Linked DNA regions of Mus musculus. The protein of the gene in region 2 purifies or fractionates together with the protein of the main gene of each other region. This does not show direct contact. Links are inferred from orthologs where the notes say so. Each region holds a gene or a part of one and is shown on either strand. Other genes may lie near its edges.

Evidence for each region.
Region 1: the proteins of Dhx38 (region 2) and Ppp4r3a purify together in Homo sapiens (co-immunoprecipitation; 3 studies listed by BioGRID and IntAct, with this or other methods). This does not show direct contact. The link is inferred for Mus musculus from reciprocal best matches to the Homo sapiens genes DHX38 and PPP4R3A.

Annotation. Positions count from the first base shown.
Region 1 is NC_000078.6:101,038,711-101,042,420, reverse strand, and holds the end of Ppp4r3a (serine/threonine-protein phosphatase 4 regulatory subunit 3A), read left to right. Parts: intron 1-369; coding exon 370-596; intron 597-1,641; coding exon 1,642-1,752; 3' UTR 1,753-3,012; downstream 3,013-3,710. UniProt on the Homo sapiens protein: Regulatory subunit of serine/threonine-protein phosphatase 4. May regulate the activity of PPP4C at centrosomal microtubule organizing centers.
Region 2 is NC_000074.6:109,555,815-109,559,627, reverse strand, and holds part of Dhx38 (pre-mRNA-splicing factor ATP-dependent RNA helicase PRP16), read left to right. Parts: coding exon 1-90; intron 91-547; coding exon 548-709; intron 710-876; coding exon 877-984; intron 985-1,317; coding exon 1,318-1,430; intron 1,431-2,616; coding exon 2,617-2,754; intron 2,755-3,084; coding exon 3,085-3,271; intron 3,272-3,422; coding exon 3,423-3,608; intron 3,609-3,813. UniProt on the Homo sapiens protein: Probable ATP-binding RNA helicase. Involved in pre-mRNA splicing as component of the spliceosome.

The DNA.
Region 1 (3,710 bases), on a different chromosome or scaffold from region 2:
TCTCAGTCCTGGTCCTTTATTTCTTGAGGAAATGATTAGTCGCTACTCCAAGTAGACAATAATTCAAAGATTCACAGGATGTGGCTGAATTGCTGACTGTAAAGGTGTAGGCTGAGTTTTCTTAATGTAAGGAAGACGGTTCGGAGGTTATGGATACTAAATGTAAGACTGAAGATCACACTTCTCTGCATTGTAATATTTGCTAGATAATGTATTTGGTTCTTGGAAAGGCTTTGTTCATAGGTTGGACTTCATTCAGGGTTGCTTCTCAGCAAAGAAATGAGCTGGTTACTTATGTTTTAGTGTCATTTCATTTGGAGGAATTAGGAAAAAAATGAGAGTAAAAGTATTCTACATTCTCATTTTTAGTGAAAGAAAGTGAAGAGAAGGAGGTGCTTCTGAAAACTAATCTTTCTGGACGACAGAGCCCAAGTTTCAAACTTTCCTTGTCCAGTGGGACAAAGACTAACCTCACCAGCCAGTCATCCGCAACAAGCCTGCCTGGTTCTCCAGGGTCACCTGGCTCCCCGGGCTCTCCGGGCTCTCCTGGATCCGTCCCTAAGAGTACATCTCAGACGGCAGCTATTACCACAAAGGTACATGCTTGGATTGGAGTCCCCTATGCTGGCCCTTCCCTGCCATGCTTTAAGCTTACCGGAGCAGTCTTTATTCCTGGATTATCGCTTTGCTTTGCTTTGCTTTGCTTTGCTTTCTGGAACTAGCTAGCTAAATGCTATGAACTGAAGGTGAAACCTCATCACAACCACTACCTGAACTTATGTGTCCAGTGCAAATCTGTAGTCTGCCTTTGGTATTGTTTAACTTATAAATTATAGGTTCATCTTTACCTTTCTCAATTAGAACCCAGGTGAAAACTTGGGAGGGGAAGCCAGAGTTTCTGTTTATATGTGTGGACAGACATCAAAGCTGTGTGTGGAGGTCAGTTCTTCTGCCGTGTGTGTCCCAAAGATCAAGCTTAGGTCATTAGGATTGATAAAAAGTGCTGGCCCCACAGTCTCATTTCATCTGACATTGGCAGGAGATCCCTCAGGACTGAGGCTGCATCTAACGTTGAAATGAAGGCACAGGCTGAGAGCAGAGTGATAGGAATTTCCATAGCCATTCAAATTGTACTGTCATAGTTTCTGTTGAAGAATCAGGGCTAAAGGGGAAATCCAGAAGAAATATCCCATCTGCCTGCATTTTGATAGCATTTTATCTTTTATATTGAAATACATTTGAGCCAGGCATTGTACTACACACAGGTCAGTAATCATAGCTACTCTTGACACTAGGAAAGAAAGATTGCTAGAATACGGCCTGCCTGGGCCACTTAAGACCCCGGCTCAGAAGGTATACAAGAGGGCTAGGTATGTAGCAGTAGTAGATAGAGCCAGCCCTTGGCCTGAGCATGTATGAAGCCCTGGGTTCAACCCCAATACCATAAAAAAATGAATTTTATACAGGTAGTCATAAGCCATTTTAAGTAGCTTAAGAGAACCTTACAAAAATATGGAAATTTTAGAATGTCTATAAAAATTATTTTGAGCATGCTGGCATGGGGCCTATACTTTTTCTAAGTTTTACAACAGGTAATTTCAAATGTAGTGGGTTCTTTACATAATTCTTATTTCTCAACAGGGAGGACTCGTGGGTCTGGTAGATTATCCTGATGATGATGAAGATGATGATGAGGATGAAGACAAGGAAGACACACTACCAGTGTCAAAGAAAGCAAAATTTGAGTCCTAATAATAGCAACTGCCTGTGATCATCAGTACCTGTTGACAAAACTGGTTCTTTACCCCTCCCCCCTACAAAATCCACATCAAAGTGCAGTGGTCTCTTGTGAATGACTGACCCAGATCAGCACCACACTGGACTTCTGCTCATCAAGTGCCAATTCAATGGAGCAGGAGGAGGGGATGCCGTGCAGTTAGGGGAAGACATAAGCCTGTGAGCTCTCCAGCTTGGACCACACATTGCCCTTTTCTCAGGGAAGGAAATGGAAATAAAAAGCCAACAGGGCAGGGGTTTTGTCAGTGGAACTCTGGATTGACTGGTCAGTTGCTACAATCAGAACCTGCTTTCTTGGACCATGTTTGAGACTTAGAAGAATGGGTCTTTCTGCCATAGTTCCTCACTAGTAAAGAATGCCAGCAGTTTCTTTGTATAAAGAGACCTGCCTTTAAAATCATACATTCTGAACATTTTAGTCAAGCTACAACAGATTTGGAAAACCTTTGTGGGGGAGGGGCAGAATAAAGTATCTTTTTTTTTTTTTTTTTAAATCTGTTCCCTTTGCCCTTCAAACTGCAGATTTTTTTTTTCAAAGTGGGGATTTGTCCCTGCTTGATTAAAGATTGAGTGGAATTCTAGATGTGGTCATTTGTGTCATAATTTTTCTTTTTGTTTCAATTTGTTTCTGTTTTTTTTTTCTCTCCCCCTGGGTGTATGATTAGTTGTTGAATATATATATTTGGGACCATTAAAACTTTTTTGATGTAATATAGCCTAACGTGCTGGCACCTGCTTTACATGTGTAATTTGTGTTCTACATCACAGTTCTTAATTTGTTTAGAGTTTTATGAAAGATGGTATAGTTTTTATTGACAAAAGCAAAGTAATCTTACAACTATGTGCATACAAAAGCAATACTATTTTGTGACTAAATATTTTATATTAAAATTTGCATCAGCAGCTGTCTTGAGATTTCAGGGAAATAGAGTGGAATTTAAAACTTCAACAGTTTTGTTAAACTTAGAAACATGAAATTAGTATTCCAAAGAGATTCGGAAATTTCATATCTTGGAGAAATGACGGTACATTAAATCAAAATTGAGGATGGATGATTTAAAAGTAATACTTGACTTTTGAATAATAAAAAGAAAAGTGAAGAGTAAGAGAAATTGTATTAATTGTATGTTTCTTTTCTTTCTTTCTTTTTTTTTAACATATGCCCTTTGGAATACAAGTTGTAAGTGGTGGTACCTAAATAAACACCCAAGAACCATTAAGTGGTACCTTATTAAAACATTATTTTTGGGTCTGGTGACACAGCTTAATAGTAGAATGGGGTGGGACACTTTCCATTTTTCAGCTCCATTACCACCAGAAAATAATGTATTCTTAAATAGGATCTTTACTGTTAGACATACTAAAATGTTTTCAAGAAAGTAAGTGTCTGAGTTCCAAAACCTTCGCTTTTTAAAGGTGGAAAGCAGAACTTACCTTGTAGTTGTAAATGAATAAAATGTTATGCCCAGGAGAGGCCACTATGTGGTCCTAACTGCTTATCCTCAACAGAAACAGGAAATCCAGAATATACTGCAGGCGGTGGTGCATGCACTCGGGAAACTGGAGCAGGTGGATCTTTCAGCTTGAGGCACAATAAAGTATAAAAGATTTAATTCATTTCACAATAGAGCTGCTTTTTAAGACAATTACACAGCTGGAGATGGCACAGTGGTTAAAAGCACTGGCTGCTCACAAACCTCTGTAACTCCAGTCTCGGGGATCTGGTGCTTGCTGAAGGCACTGTACTTGCATGTAGTACTCATATTACATTCAGGGAAACACCCAGCCACATAAATAAAAAGATTTGTACTTTAGCCAAGCAGTTGATGGAGCACACCTTTAATCCCTGCACTGGAGGCAGGAGTCAGATCTCTCTGTAGGCCAAGATGGTCATCTGTGAGAGCAACGAGTAT
Region 2 (3,813 bases):
TCGTCTGAGGACTACGTGAGGCGGCGGGAGCAGCACCTGCACAAACAGAAGCAGAAGCGCATTTCAGCGCAGCGCAGGCAAATCAACGAGGTGAGGCCGCAGGGGCGGCGGTAGCGGCGGCTGGCACAGGCTTAGGGCAGAGCTGGGGCGTGTGGGAGGAGTCTCAGGGTGCCAGGCGATGACACAACACAGCTGGCTGTCTATAGACAGGACCAGGTCACACATGCCTCTGCAGGACAGGAGCGTGAGTGGGAAGCTTTGGGTAGCTGAGGAATCCTGGCTCCTGCTTCGCTCTCATGCACTACGCTGTGAGGGGCCGTGTGGGGAGTGGTATGGTGGTACTCTCTGGGTGTGTGGTTTGTGTCTGGGGTAGGGCTGGTGCCCAGCTGCTTCTTGGGACAAGGTACTGCAAGGCCTTGGCTTCAGTGACTCCTGTTTAAGGAGCTGCAGGGTGCAGAGCCCGTTGTGAGTCTGTGGGCTTGCTTGTTGACCTTTCAGGATCCCCTTTTAGCTGCTGGCTAAATGTGGCTGTCCTTGTGTCCCACAGGACAATGAGCGCTGGGAGACAAACCGAATGCTCACCAGTGGGGTGGTCCATCGGCTGGAGGTGGACGAGGACTTTGAAGAGGACAATGCGGCCAAGGTGCATCTGATGGTGCACAACCTGGTGCCTCCCTTTCTGGATGGGCGCATCGTTTTCACCAAGCAGGTGAGGCCTCTGTGGCCAGAGACGGGCGGGTTAGAAAGTGCTGAAGGAGGGAGGAGGAGAGGGTTGGTACAGGCAAGTGTCGGTGCCAGAGGGTAGTGCCTGTTGTACTAGGGCCCATGCACAGCAGGCCCTCTGGTTCCTTTAGTGACCTCTCCTCCTTCTTGCAGCCGGAGCCTGTGATCCCAGTGAAGGATGCCACCTCTGACCTGGCCATTATTGCTCGGAAAGGCAGCCAGACGGTCCGCAAGCACAGGGAACAGAAAGAACGGAGAAAGGTTGGTGGTGTGCTACTAGGGCTGAGGTCCTTGGGGGCTGCTTTTTACTCCTGTAGAAAATGTCAAGACTGCATACAGTGACTGCCAGTGGCAGTCAGAGGACATACTTGCATGGATCAAGAGGCAGCCCAGGAGAATACTGTGTTCTACTCAGTTAAGCAACCATGGGGCCTGGTGTTGGGGGCTTGGAGGCATGAGGTTTGAGAAGTGTGGCTTGGTGCCTTGTGGGAATTTACTGTCTGCTGGGTAAAGCCTGCCTTCCATCAGAATAGCCTCCACGGCCTCCCGTCTTGCCAGAGGATGCAGTGATTTAACTCTTGTTTTCACCTTCAGGCTCAGCACAAACACTGGGAACTGGCAGGGACCAAACTAGGAGACATAATGGGTGTCAAAAAAGAAGAGGAGCCGGATAAAGCTATGACAGAAGACGGGAAAGTGGACTACAGGTGTGTGTGTAGTCTCGGTCAGTAGCAAGTTGGCTCCCAAGGTCCTGGCTTGTGACGGGAATCTTTGTGCATTCTGGTCCCTTCCTGAGTCCTGTCTTCTGACTTGAGCTTTCCTTGCTGTCACCACCACCGCTGATACAGTGATGGTTGTGTAGATTGAGGCTCAGGGAGGTTAAGGACTTTGCTTCAGAGCACCTAGCTAGGAAATGTTGGTCCTGACAGGCAGGGTTTCTTTTCTTGGTCAGATTTCAGCACAACACGGAAGGGAGGGCTGGCTTCCCAGGCCTTTTAGGACTCTCGGCTTGGTAGTGTCTCCGTTCATGGGGTCTGATGCAGTCGTTCAGTCACTGCTTGTCTGAGTCCCTGCATTGGCTTGGTGCTACACTCAAAATAGCCCTCCCACTGCGCATCCCCTAATGACGACGTGTCCCGTGGAACTGTCGTCTTTACCTAGTACTTCTGTGTAAAGTGTCCCAACTAAGAGGTTGGTATTGCTGGAGTCCCTTAGTTTCAGTTGTCAGGTGGCCAGGGGGACTGAGTAAAATGAGAACTAGACACTTGAAGAGCTTGGGTAAGATCTGAGGAAGGAAAGGACTCTGAGGGGGAAGGTGGGAGCAAGGGTCTTGGGATGTGTGTCCATGTATCAGACACTGATACATGGTTGTTATCTAGAAGCAAGGCAAATAGAAGTGAGCTGTTCTCATAGTTCTTTGAAAACGAGGCCTTTGCACTTGGTAGTCCTATTAAGGGAGGGAGGAATTCAGATCTATGTCCTGTGCTGTGTAGCTAGCACTTGGGAGACCCCTATAGCTGTTTGAGCCCTTTAAGTCTGGTCCTAACATTGTCCAAGATCTTCTTTCTAAATTGGTACCTGCTGGTTAATTTCAGCCCCTCTTCTGGCCACACTTTGTTTAGGATAGGCGATCTGCCCACCTAGAGTCTGATGTCTGCTCCCTATGCAGCTGTTTGATCAGGGCTCTGGACTGTGTATTATGGAGGTGGAGTCTTGTGTGATATCTGCTCCTTAGGCCCATTTAGATACAGTCTTGGATGCCCAGGCTGCTTTGGAGTCCAGGAGGTTGACTGATTCTTGTCGCAGTTGTTCACATTCTTGGGAGCAGGAAGGGCAGCTAACTTCAGCCTGAGGGACAGTGTGGGAGGTCATGTGTGCCTCTGTGTTTCCCAGGACGGAGCAGAAGTTTGCAGATCACATGAAGGAGAAAAGCGAGGCCAGCAGTGAGTTTGCCAAGAAGAAGTCGATCCTGGAGCAGAGGCAGTACCTGCCCATCTTTGCCGTGCAGCAGGAGCTGCTCACCATCATCAGGTAACGGCCCAGGCCCCGTGGCTCTCCTGTCTGTGCATTGTCTAATGGGCAAGGGAAACACTTTGCCCGTAATGGGCTGGCTGAGTGTGTGCTGCGCACAGTAAGATGACATCACTTCCTTTAGTGGTCCAGGTTCACCTTGACTGGGTCCCTGGCATCTCATGTGGAAGCCCCATAAGATGCTGGTTTCTGGTGAACCCTCTGGCCATGAATGCTTCTTGCAGAGCTAGGCTTTGCCAGAGGCAGCCAGACTTAAGGCTTCTCAGGGAATTGTCTCAAGCTTGGCTTTCCTCTCAGGCTGCTCAGTGCCTTGCTTGCTCTTCCCTGCAGAGACAACAGCATTGTGATCGTGGTCGGGGAGACAGGGAGTGGCAAGACCACTCAGCTGACCCAGTACTTGCATGAAGATGGTTACACGGACTATGGGATGATCGGGTGTACCCAGCCCCGGCGTGTGGCTGCCATGTCAGTGGCCAAGAGAGTCAGTGAAGAGATGGGGGGCAACCTTGGAGAAGAGGTGAGTGGGCGTGAGGTCTGAGCCATGTAGCCTTCTCCTGATCGCTTCTGCCATTTGTGCTGGAAGCTGTGGTCTGCTTAAGCCTGACTCCAGTCTGTGAGGGCAAACGGTAAGTAGTTAGCCTCTTGGTGAGCTCTGTCTCTGACCCCAGGTGGGCTATGCCATCCGCTTTGAGGACTGCACTTCGGAAAACACCTTGATCAAGTACATGACGGATGGGATCCTGCTGCGCGAGTCCCTCCGGGAGGCTGACCTGGACCACTACAGCGCCGTCATCATGGATGAGGCCCACGAGCGCTCCCTCAACACCGACGTGCTTTTTGGGCTGCTCCGGGAGGTAAGGCCACGGCGGGCTCTGGTTCCTCTGCGGCTCAGGTGCAGAGGATGGGTGAGGCTTCCTCGGAAGCTTCCAGGTCACCTGGTCAGCCCTGCTGGTGTCTTCACGCTGAGCTGTAGCTCCATTGCTCAGTCAGACAAAGCTACCGGCTTGCCAGCGTTAGTGTTTGCTCTGTCTGTGGACAGAGCTGAGACTGAAGTCCCAA